Linked DNA regions of Drosophila melanogaster. The protein of the gene in region 2 interacts with the protein of the main gene of each other region in a pairwise test. Each region holds a gene or a part of one and is shown on either strand. Other genes may lie near its edges.

What was found.
Region 1: the proteins of CG15212 (region 2) and ChT interact in a two-hybrid assay, tested with the Drosophila melanogaster proteins (one large-scale study listed by BioGRID).

What each region holds. Positions count from the first base shown.
Region 1 is NT_033777.3:18,678,848-18,686,824, reverse strand, and holds ChT (choline transporter), read right to left. Parts: upstream 6,222-7,977; 5' UTR 5,828-6,221; coding exon of another isoform or gene 5,747-5,827; 5' UTR 5,489-5,746; intron 4,479-5,488; 5' UTR 4,386-4,478; coding exon 4,112-4,385; intron 4,037-4,111; coding exon 3,452-4,036; intron 3,322-3,451; coding exon 3,000-3,321; intron 2,923-2,999; coding exon 2,650-2,922; intron 2,554-2,649; coding exon 2,163-2,553; 3' UTR 86-2,162; downstream 1-85. Other genes in the region: CG46318 (uncharacterized protein), read right to left, coding at 5,747-5,827; CG7706 (uncharacterized protein), read right to left, coding at 6,621-7,418, 7,473-7,667, 7,724-7,977. UniProt on the Drosophila melanogaster protein: Imports choline from the extracellular space to the neuron with high affinity. Rate-limiting step in acetylcholine synthesis. Sodium ion and chloride ion dependent.
Region 2 is NT_037436.4:5,129,799-5,132,774, reverse strand, and holds CG15212 (uncharacterized protein), read right to left. Parts: upstream 1,231-2,976; 5' UTR 1,172-1,230; coding exon 1,154-1,171; intron 1,016-1,153; coding exon 842-1,015; 3' UTR 648-841; downstream 1-647. Other genes in the region: CG4597 (uncharacterized protein), read right to left, coding at 2,535-2,976.

The DNA.
Region 1 (7,977 bases), on a different chromosome or scaffold from region 2:
AGAATAAATAAGTAGACGGATTGGATTTGACTTTTGGGGCAACAGAGAAACCATTTCAATGTAGATATATATATACCTTTTATTTATTAAATACTTTTTTTTCGATTTATTCCATTTCGCTATGCTTAAAACATTGATATGTATTCGGTTTAATTTTAATTTAATACATCATGTATATCGTAACCTTTCGTCCTATTCATTTGTATTTTTTTGTATTTAATTTCATTTAGTTCGGTTAACATAATGCCACTAAGGTAACTTGGAGTGATAGACCAAGTTTGGTTAACAATAACAGAAGTAGGTACGAGTATATATTTAACTAATTGCAAAACTGTTTGTTTTAACCAAGCGAAGTAAGTTCATCGCAGTTGAATGCATAAATTATTTGGTGGTTTTGGTTTAGTTGATAGTAACTTTACAAACGATTCGAGTAACTATAATTTGCTTATTTACAAACCTGGTGAACTGCACAAAGAAACGCGAGACATGGAATACAAACACACACATAATTAACATACTTTTATGTAGGATCTCTCTGGAAATTTAGTCAAATTGTAGTTCTTAGTTAAACGGATTCAAACGCCATCGAAATTGACACACTCAGAACGGATGCAAGAGATAATAACAATAACAACGAACAGATATGCTTGATATATCATATGATAGGTAGATAATCCTAAATGGACTCAAACTCTTCTTAGTTAGTTTCACTTATGTAAACGTTAAAAAACTCGACCCCGATATAACAAACATACGAGGCTCAATCAAAAAGCAGTCAACATTTATTACAATTTAATGAGTTGTATGTAGTTGCGGTATTTTCCATAGGGCTCAAAATCTTACCAAGTTAGTTACGCATATTAGTTTACTTGAGTTGACTTTAGTTATTCAGATTTCAGGTTTAGATTTAGATTTGGATTTGGATTTGGATTAGTTCTTTCCAACGGATCGAAAGAGCAACAAACGAGCCGAGTGACTTTGAAGAGGATGAACCAATGCCCACCTCTTGGTAAACTACAATATATACTCAAATGGAGATCAAAGGTTGGGATTTGAGGTTTGGGGTTCAGGCAGCGTGTGTTTGTCTATATATGTAGATCGGAAACTCCCTTTGCCAATGGTTCTTTAGCAGGTTCGTGGGTCAGTGGGTGTGGTTGTTTCCTTTGGGTATAACTCTCTAAATTCAGTGGCTGGCTTCTAGATATGTGTATGTATATATATGCTTGTGTATATGATTTGTATAGGTATATCTTTAGGTACTACGACGCAACATGTTATATATATATATATGTGTATATTTATATATAGATCTGCATTCCTGTGCCTCATCTGCCATGTATGTACCTTGTGGTTTTTGCTCTTTGAGAGCAGCTAAAATTCATTCCTATATAACTCGATATGCCTCGCTTTCGTCCACTTACACGACTACTGTTTGGATATAGTGGATGTTTTTCATACCCCGATTCTCCTATATAGCTAACACGACTGATATGTATATTGATATACTTCCGCCTTGTTTTGTTTTTTTTTTTTTGATATGTTTCGTTTGCATTGGTTTGTTAGTTAGTTAGTTTTGCTTAGCTTTGTTCGTTCTGGAAGGACACATGATTCACATTTTATGCATCTATATAGTATAGTATATATGATCGATATGCTAATGCCAGGAATGCCAATTCATATTGCTCAAATGCTCGTCACTTTGGTTATACATACATCTTAATCCATAGCCACTTTAACTGGGCTAACTCCTTTTGGGTTAATACGTGTTCCTAGGCAATTCTCGGGCTAGGAAAATGCAATTGATATGTATTCGTCGTCAATTGACTTGTGAACATTTACACATAGATAGATACTCTAACATCAAAATGAATACCGATAGAACAACGCTTTAAGCTTGTAGAAACTATACACAATAAGTTGGCTAAATGAAAATGTAAACCTTACGATCAGCTTTCTGCAATTTTTACCTGAGCACTTGTGTGTTTAACGTACGTTTCCTAATACTTTCTGTACTCCATTCCACGATCTGATGACCCCAACTTCCCCCCATTTGTGTCCCCCTAACAAGCGCAACATAAAATCGGATAATTCTCTGGTATCAACTGCAGCCTATTTTCGGGCATTCAGCTGCCCAGATGCCATGGGATTCTCCGCTACTCCGCTCAGAAGGCCGTATTGTCCTGCTCCGCCGTGGGCATGGCCATCCCGCTTTGGCTCTGGAGGTGACCACCGCCTCCGCCCGACGGCTTCACCCCAGTGGCGTTATCCAGCATCTTTTTGACCTGCGCCTGCGCCGTCTCCTGGTTGATGCGACGTGCCTCCGCCACCGGCAGATCGTCGTCCGATTCCAGGGCGGGATTGATGCGGCCATTGCGCTCATCCTTGCCCGCCATGGTGGCCGCTCCGTAGGATCGGGCCAGCGGTCCAGCCATCACGGATAGCTGCTCACCCGACTCCGAGGGATCGCCCACACGCTGCACATCCTCCGGAATATTGACCACACAGCGGAAGTAGTCGTAGCTGGGCGGCAACTTGCCGGACTCAAACATCATTCTGAAATTGGTTAGGAGAAGGGTTACATTTAATTTAATTACAATAATATAAATCAAATATGTAGTAACTATGTAATTTACATAGCCTTATACTCACTTAGTCCACCAGGAGACCGAGATGAGCGTGACCAGGCTGAGCAGCATGGCCATGGTGCGGAAGGGGAACATCTGCTCCTTGGTCTCCTCGTCGTAGCCGGGATACTTGATCAATGGAGCCAGTCCCAAGATGGCCTCACCGCCCGACAGTCGGATGGCCAGGGCCACAATGTATGCCGACAGGCTGCCGTACGTGTTGCAGTGCTTCTTGAAGTGCACCACCATCAGTAGCTGCGGGAACAGAATGACGTAGACCAGATCCGAGCACATGGACCTGTCCGGAAAGATAAGAAGAGCAGGCACTTAGCAAAATGAGCTGAGGGAGGGTGAATAATGCATCTTCTCACGCACCACAAACCGTAGATGGAGGGAATGGTGAGGGCCATGATGGTAGCCAGGATGCCCACCACAATGATGGCGACTCGCATCACCCAAATGATTTCCATCTCGGACGCCTTCTGACGGAAAATCAATTTGTACACGTTCCGAGCGAACATGGAGGCGGCGGAGAGCACCGAGGAGTCGGCGGAGGACATCACGGCGGCGGAAACAGCGCCCAATCCAAAGAAGGACACGAAGTCAGGCGTGAGGTACTGCAGCACCATGGGCAGAATCATGCTCGTCTCGTCCACGGTCAGGGGATAGGGTCCCTTGTAATCTGTCTCGTTCCAAGCTGTCAGAGAAAAGAAAATAGACATTAGTCAAAGGTGCATAGGTAATCTGCCCCCCACACCAAGGATATGTGCTTTCTATTTTGGGGATATCTGTTTATTACTTGCTAGTGTCGTCTAGCTAGGACTCACGTGTAGCCTTGGCAATCGCTCCGATGAGCACCGGGGGAATGGCCATCAAAATGCATCCGGCGGCTGCAACATAGGACAGAAGCTGGGCCCTTCCTGCCGTTTTGCTGGACAGCACCCGCTGGAAGTAGACCTGCCAGGGAATGCCACCAAAGACGAGCAGCAAGCCGTAGTCTATGTACAGCCAATGCTTTTTAGGCTCCACGTGCCCAATCCAATCCACCTCCAGGTCACTCAGGCTGCCCACGTGCTCGTTGCTCCAGGCGAAGGGAATGCACATCCACAGACCGATGAAGATGCAGAACAACTGGATCACGTCCGTATACGCCACGGAGTACAGTCCACCGAACAGTGTGTAGAAGATGGCGATGCAGGAGGACAGGATCACCGAGGTGCGGTGATCCATGTCGATGATCACCGATAGAGTGGCGCCAAGTGCAGCCAGGATGCCGGCTGCCCAAAAGACCTCACCGCATAGAGCGGGCAGGAAGAGCAATCCTCCCATCCGCTCACCAAAGGAATCCTGCAACGGATCCAACATGGTGATGTAACCCTGCTTGCGCATGGGATTGGCAAAGAAGATGCCACCTAAGTTTGGAAGGAGGATAGAATCACTTTTTGTTAAGAAAGGAATCTTAATTGGAATCTGTAAAGTTGACTTACCAAATACCAAGCTTAGAGCGTATCCAAATGGAGCCTGGCACCACACCAGACCCGATGTGTATATAGCCTCCGCCGTGCCGTTGATGTAGCCGCCACCCACCCAGGTGGCCGTCATGGTGAAGATGCCCACGAAGAGGCCGATGGAGCGTCCGGCCAGCATGACCTCCTCCTCCGAATCATTGCCGGACTGCTTCTTGCGACCGGCCCAAATGCCAACGACCAGGATCAGGAGGTAGAAGAGCACGATGCTCACCACGCCAGCGATATTGATCATCCTTGCAGTTCAGTCGTGTCCTTGGCTACGAAACTTAAGGTTCTCCACGCGCTGCTGTAACCAAATACTCTCAAAATGGGGTTGACCTTCTAGCTGTAATGGAATACAAGGGTTTCACATAGAGCCACATCCTTTAGCATAATGGTTAATATGGCAGGAGCTCATTTTTCAATTAACTAGCAACAGCACGAAGCATTAAATATTAAGCCAATGCATTGGCCATGGCCTCAGGTGCGCCTGACCTTTGTTTGCAAGGATATAATTGGAGTTGCCCCCACTTCCCACTTTCAACTTCACCCCTCCATTCCATCGTCCCACCCACCCATCAGAAAATGCGTCCTTGTTAATGGCGCGCAATTAAGGAGCTATTGCATTGAGTTTGACCTCCACGGGGTCCTATAATTATAATAGATCGACTATAGATACTAGATACTACAAATACTAGATACTATAGATACTAGAATCTTTAGTTCTCTGTACTGTATGCCAAAGTATCACAATTGTATAAATACGCATAAAAAATATTGTTGTAATTCGATTTTAATAAATAAAATTAACAATCAAATGAAAATCTTCGTAAAGGTGTGCTTTGTTAACTACAAAAATGTGAAATAAAGAAGTTCATTATCAAATTTTTCATTTAGATATAAACTTCTTATGAATGAATCAATGTATTTGTAAAAAGGACCTAATATTTAATAATTTATTAGCGTAAGCGTTTAGTTCCCAAGTAATTCGAACAATAGTGAAAGCATTTAAATGTGCGGAAATTAGTTCTGATTGCAGCCACACGCACGTGTCCTGCTTATGTAACAGACCGACTTTGGGAGCGGGATGGTCGGGACTTCACTCCGCTTATGTGAAATACATAAACAATTCAAACTACCTTGTGTGTGTGGGGGAAGGCGGGTCAAGTACGTCATAGCCACGTCAAGCGAGCGGCCGCCGCGAGAACACCTCAATCCGTGTGCCACATTGCCCCCTTGTGGCTGCTTCATTCACAAAATTGAGCAAAGCACGGAGCGCATCGGACTAATAGTGTGAGAAGTAATCCCCACCAGCAGTCTGCGCATGACCCATCGTATTTGCGGGTAGCCACTCACCTCTGTCTTGCGATTTGTGCGCCAAGTTCAAGCGGACGCCAATTTTCGATTGTGGAGCTTAGCGACGACAATCAAAGAAGCGCGCCAATCAAATGCGCCTCGACTTATGCAACATTTCCTGTTCCAAACGGGCTCTTGGTGGATGCGGGCTGCCCCGTAGTAGTACTAGCTTGAACGCAGTGAGTCGCGAGGGAATCGAACTCGAGGATGAGGTCTCCGGCCAAGGAACACGAATGGCGGTCGGAACACTAGACTAGACTAGGCTAGACAGCAGTCGCCCCAGCGGAGGGACGTCTTCTGAGACGGGCTGTTACGCGTCCTAAAATGTAACCCGCACATGTGCTCCGGCTGTTGGGGAAACGCGTGTCGGCCACATCAAAACCAATGCCACTATGTAGCTTCGCACCCGAGAAGTTGTCGAAAATGTTCCAGATTATATATAAAAAAAAAAAAAGAAAACCAACCACCCACACGTTCGTTCAAGTGGTGCTGACAAGCCTTCGGCTTGTTTGAAATGCAATCGCGTGGGCTATTAAATCGAACCCAACTTCAAGGTGGACTGAATCCAATCAGATCGATATTTGAAAATGAATTAAGCAATCAAACTAAAGCCATTCGGTTTTTGGTAAAAACAAACGAGCAGTTGACTACGGTCTATTGGTAAACTAAAAACACGTCTCCACGTTCAGCCGTCGGACCGTGTTGGCGGTTAGAGCGACGAAATTATAACTGAATTGGAAGTTCAAGTACTGGAGTCCCATCGGCGAACCGATGGCCTCTTCGACGCAAAATGGCTGAGCCGAGTGGGCGTTCATTTTGTGTATGTGCGCAGGAATTTTAATCGAATCGCCGGATGAATCGTTTCGTGGAAGCCGCCACTCGACTCAAACTAGGGGTGATTGCCAGCGCGAAGGAGAGTTGCCAGCACTGGAATGGTGGTGAAAAGCTCTACCACTCCGTCTAAAGTACCGCCGAGTACCCATTAAACAAATAAATATGAAAACATTCAAGGGTTCAACATTTACAAAGTTACAATGAGAGGGTCTTATAGAATACATCAATTACGAGACCTAGACTAGTTTTAAAGTACATGTAAACTAAATATTTCCAGTGTTTTAGGGCTACCAATGGGCTAGTAGCCAAACTTCTCGTTCAAGTGGGTGATTCCATCGCCGCTCTGGTTGGTCGGTGGCACCCACTTGGCGTACTTTTCGGTGTCCTCATGCTCGGCCAGCTCGTCGAGGTCCATGTCCACATCCTGGCGCTGCTTGTTGCGCTGTCGCTGGCGTTGACGTCGCTTTTTCTGCGCTTCTTCCGGTTCCGATGTGTCGTTTGCTCGGGCGGTGATGTCTTCAGCTGGCGCGCTGGAGTCTTCTACGGGGGTGCTCATGTCTTCATCTGGATTAGTTGAAGCAACAGTGTGGCTGGGAGCTGGGGGCGCTTCCGTTGAAACTTTTGTTGACCTCACGTTCTCTGGTTTTAGGACTTCCGTTTTAGCGACTGTTGGTTTGCTCTCTTCCGGTTGAGCAGGGAGTTTAGTTTCCTTCAAGCTATCGTTTTCTGGAGTCGATGGCTTTGTCGTACTTTCCGGCTCCGTCTCTTCCTTCTCCAAATTGTCCACCTCTGCCTCCTTTTCCTTTACTTTTTCTTTGACCTCTTCCTCTTCGACTTCCTCCTCATCGGAGGCAAATGCATTAGATTGAGTCATAGTCTGTGTGCTTGGTGACGCTTTGACCACCTTAAATTTACTAAACTGATTTCGCTTGCCAATCATGGGAAGCTGTTTTTTTTTGGCTGCACCACCTTCCTGGGCGGCCGACTCCTTAGAACCCGCCGCAAGGCTTGTGGTAAATGGCAGCGCAGTGGGCTTGGCAATCTTCAGCAGGCGTTCCACCTTTTGCTGCTCGCCCTTGATTCGTTGCTGCTCCAACTAATTGGAAGTCAATCAATCATTTTGTTTATACTAATATCTGTAAGTACTTACCCTTAACTTTTTGATCTCCGTCTTGTCCAGTTGCTCAACGTCTTTGGTGAGCATGTCCATGAAGTTGTCCAGATCATCACCTTCAGCTTGCTGTTTGGCCGCCAGCTCCTTCAGCTTTTTTTCATTTTGTTGGTAAGTGGAAATCTCCTGCTCTACCTTTTCCATTTCCATGTTGAGATCAATCTCTTGTTTCAGCTGTGGAAAAGTTGGAATTGGTCGGTCTGTTGATGAAAAAGTAATTTAAGACTTACCAAATCCTCATAGGTAAGGGTGACACTGACTCCAGCATTATCCTTTCGCTGCTTCTTACGCGCCACATCACCGGTGCGGTCCCAAAACTCATCTTCGTCATCAGAGTCCCGATTTTTGAGCTGCTTCCTTTTTTGGGCCTCCTGATTGGCTTGACGCAGCACACCATGCCTGTCCAGCGTTCGACACGCCTCCAGGGCGCACTGCACCACGCAGTCCTTCTTGCGCCCCTTGTGGTTAACCTCAACAATGATTG
Region 2 (2,976 bases):
TTATTGCAAGGTTAAAACAAAATGGTGCCCAAAAAAAAAACAAGTTCGCTTCTTAAGTCTTTTGTTTGAAGAGGTCCAACCTTCAATTCCAAATAATTTTCTTTTTTTACGATCACATTAAAATCATTCCTAATACTACTAATACACCTGAATGTTAAAATTTATGGTAAGTTGAAAGGCTGGAACCATGTGCTTCAACTTGATGGCAATCATGTCCGATTTTTCGTGACCAGCTCTCAATATGTCAATATGTGATGAGTTATCGTTACTTTTTACATAATTTTGATACTTGAAAATATTTAATATATTATATTTAGTTAAGCTATAATATTACTGGCATATCAAGTTAACTAATCATGCCAATTAATGAAAGTAGGTATGATCATTAATCTCACAGTGGGCTCCTTGTATTAGCACATCATTGAACCCACTTGATTCATTTACGACTGAGATTGGCCAATATTTATACGCATGTAAGGAAGATTCCGTTCGCTTTTCACACTCTCTACCCAGAAACGATCCGAAACGGGTTTCTTATTCAGATCTAGGCAAACAAAAACCCGACCCGCTGCCAGTCATTAGCTCCTTTTTGGACACACATGGAGATCTCATCCCCGACGCTTCGATGATATAAGAAAAGCCGACGTGTATGAAAATAACATTTATTTTAGTTACGATTACGTATACTTTACTCGTATGTATGTGCTTTTGTGTGTGTTTGTGTGTTTGTGCTTATTGGGTATTGTCTAAACAAAACGGTTTGAAAATCGAATGTAGTGGGGGAGGCAAGGTTCCCAATTGGCTGGACTAGAATCTGAACGAAGCTTATTGCGAATTTCTCCTAACCCAGGAGCTTCTTCAACTTGAGCAGCTTCTTCAGCTTGAAGATGGCCTGCGGATCCTGGGGACGCTGGACATCGTCGAAGGCAGGCTGGTAGATATTATCGCCGATCAGGGACTCATCCACGGGCACGGCAGAAATGAGGGCGATGGCCATAAGGCACACGAAAATGGTCTGAAAAATGTGAATTACAATAGATTTTTAGTACAAATTGAAAATTTAATATACTTCAACAAACAACTTCATATGTTGCACTTAATTGGAAATCATTTAATCCAATTATTAATCCAAATGTTATATCCAAATACTCACCAGAGCTAGGTACTTCATGATTGCTGCTGCTGGGGAGATGATTACGCTGATTAATCCAAATATCGACTGCACATGGCTCCATCTGGCATCAGGCCTTTTTATAGCCAAACTTTTGGGTGACCATCGATGATAATGTCATGTGTAAACTGCAGTTTGCAATGAAGAAGAGGACAAATGAACGATACATAAACAAAAGAGTCTCGCATAAATAAGACGGTAAGCGAAAAAGAAGTATAAACAGAAAAACCTGGCCAAAAGCAGACGATTCAAGGGGCGTGGCATGTTGAGGCAGGTGCTTTGTTTTTTTTTTTTTTCGGGCCAATTTTTTCGGCAGCGGGACCGAGCAGCAAAACCAGGCTGCCCTGTTTACTTGGTGGTGGCATCTTTTGTTTGCTTCGCTAAGCCACTGAAGAAGTTGATCGTTGATTAAATAATAATCAGACTGGGTAAATGAAGACATCGACAAATGAAGGTCACCTCAAATGCGGTCAGCGGAGTAATATTTAAACAAAACCCGGAAGAAGGCGGAAATTGTAATGCCAGGCAGTTTAATTGCTAATTCAGTGTATCTAGAGCCCCTCGATCACCCAATTCAAATGGTAAGTTAATCTGAAGTTCAAGATCCAATGATCGAATGATCAGTGGTCAAGCCAATTAAAATATAAATTATCACTTGAGCAGAGGATCCATAAATATTTGACACTTTGAACAGCTGTCAGGCCTGTAGAGTGGAATACTAAATCAATAAAAGTTAAGCTAAACGACGGAACCATTTTGGGCTGGGCGATGGTATAAAAACCAACATATGATTGGTACGGAGGCCAAGTGTTTTTTTTGCCCAGTCATCGTGCAAGTATTGATGATGCTGACGACGATCTTGCAGCTGAAAACCGGAAACATTCGCCCTGCTCTAAATATGTAAATAACGAACTTTCGAGAATGCCGCCACAATGTCAACGCAGCTCAAAAAAACATTCCACAGTTTGTACTCCACAAAAACAAATACGTGTCGAATGGATATCACAAACAAAGTTTACCATGACAACAAATTAAAAGATTGGATTGAATGGATATCTTTGAGTTAGTCTTTGTCGTCGGCTTGTCTCGCGCGGTTTAAATTCATGTTTGATATATTTCCCATGCCCCTGGGTTTTTTAATTAACATTTATGGGCGTGGCTGTAACATGTGCGATATGTCTCAATCCCGGCGAATTTTTAGTGGGAGATAATAAATTTTATTACGCACCCGAAACTCGGTGATAGATGGTACTATTTTGCAGAAAATGTGTAAAAATTGTTTTTTTGGGTGAAAAAATTTAGCAAAAAAGGGAGAGGCTCCATGTATAATATATTTGAAAAAATTTAAGTTACAAAAATTACATTATTCGTAATCGTTTGATACTTCCGAACTATCCTCTTTCGACTGAGTAACCTCTGTACTTGCTTCTTCGGTTTTCTCTACTGGCTTCTCAGTCGCTTTATTTTCCTCGCTATTTTTAAACAGCGATGGTTCCGTGTATCCAGGTGGTGTCTTAATGGAAAACTTGATTCTGCATGAAATCAGCTTCATAACTTCCTCGTAGACTTGTATCAGCTCAAAAAGTACCATGTATCTGCCATCGGGAATGCGGAAAGGAACCAGTTTGGAATCAATAACGCCATTCTCAACAAAATAGAAGCCTGGAACCAAAGGACATGAGACAACAAAAGTCGAGGGCAAAAGGCTTTCGCCCGGAATTTCCTCCACTGTAATATTGCGAAGTGAATCGAGGAGCTTGCAGAGATCCTTGTTCGTCATGCGAATCAGATCGAAGTAGTTCGAA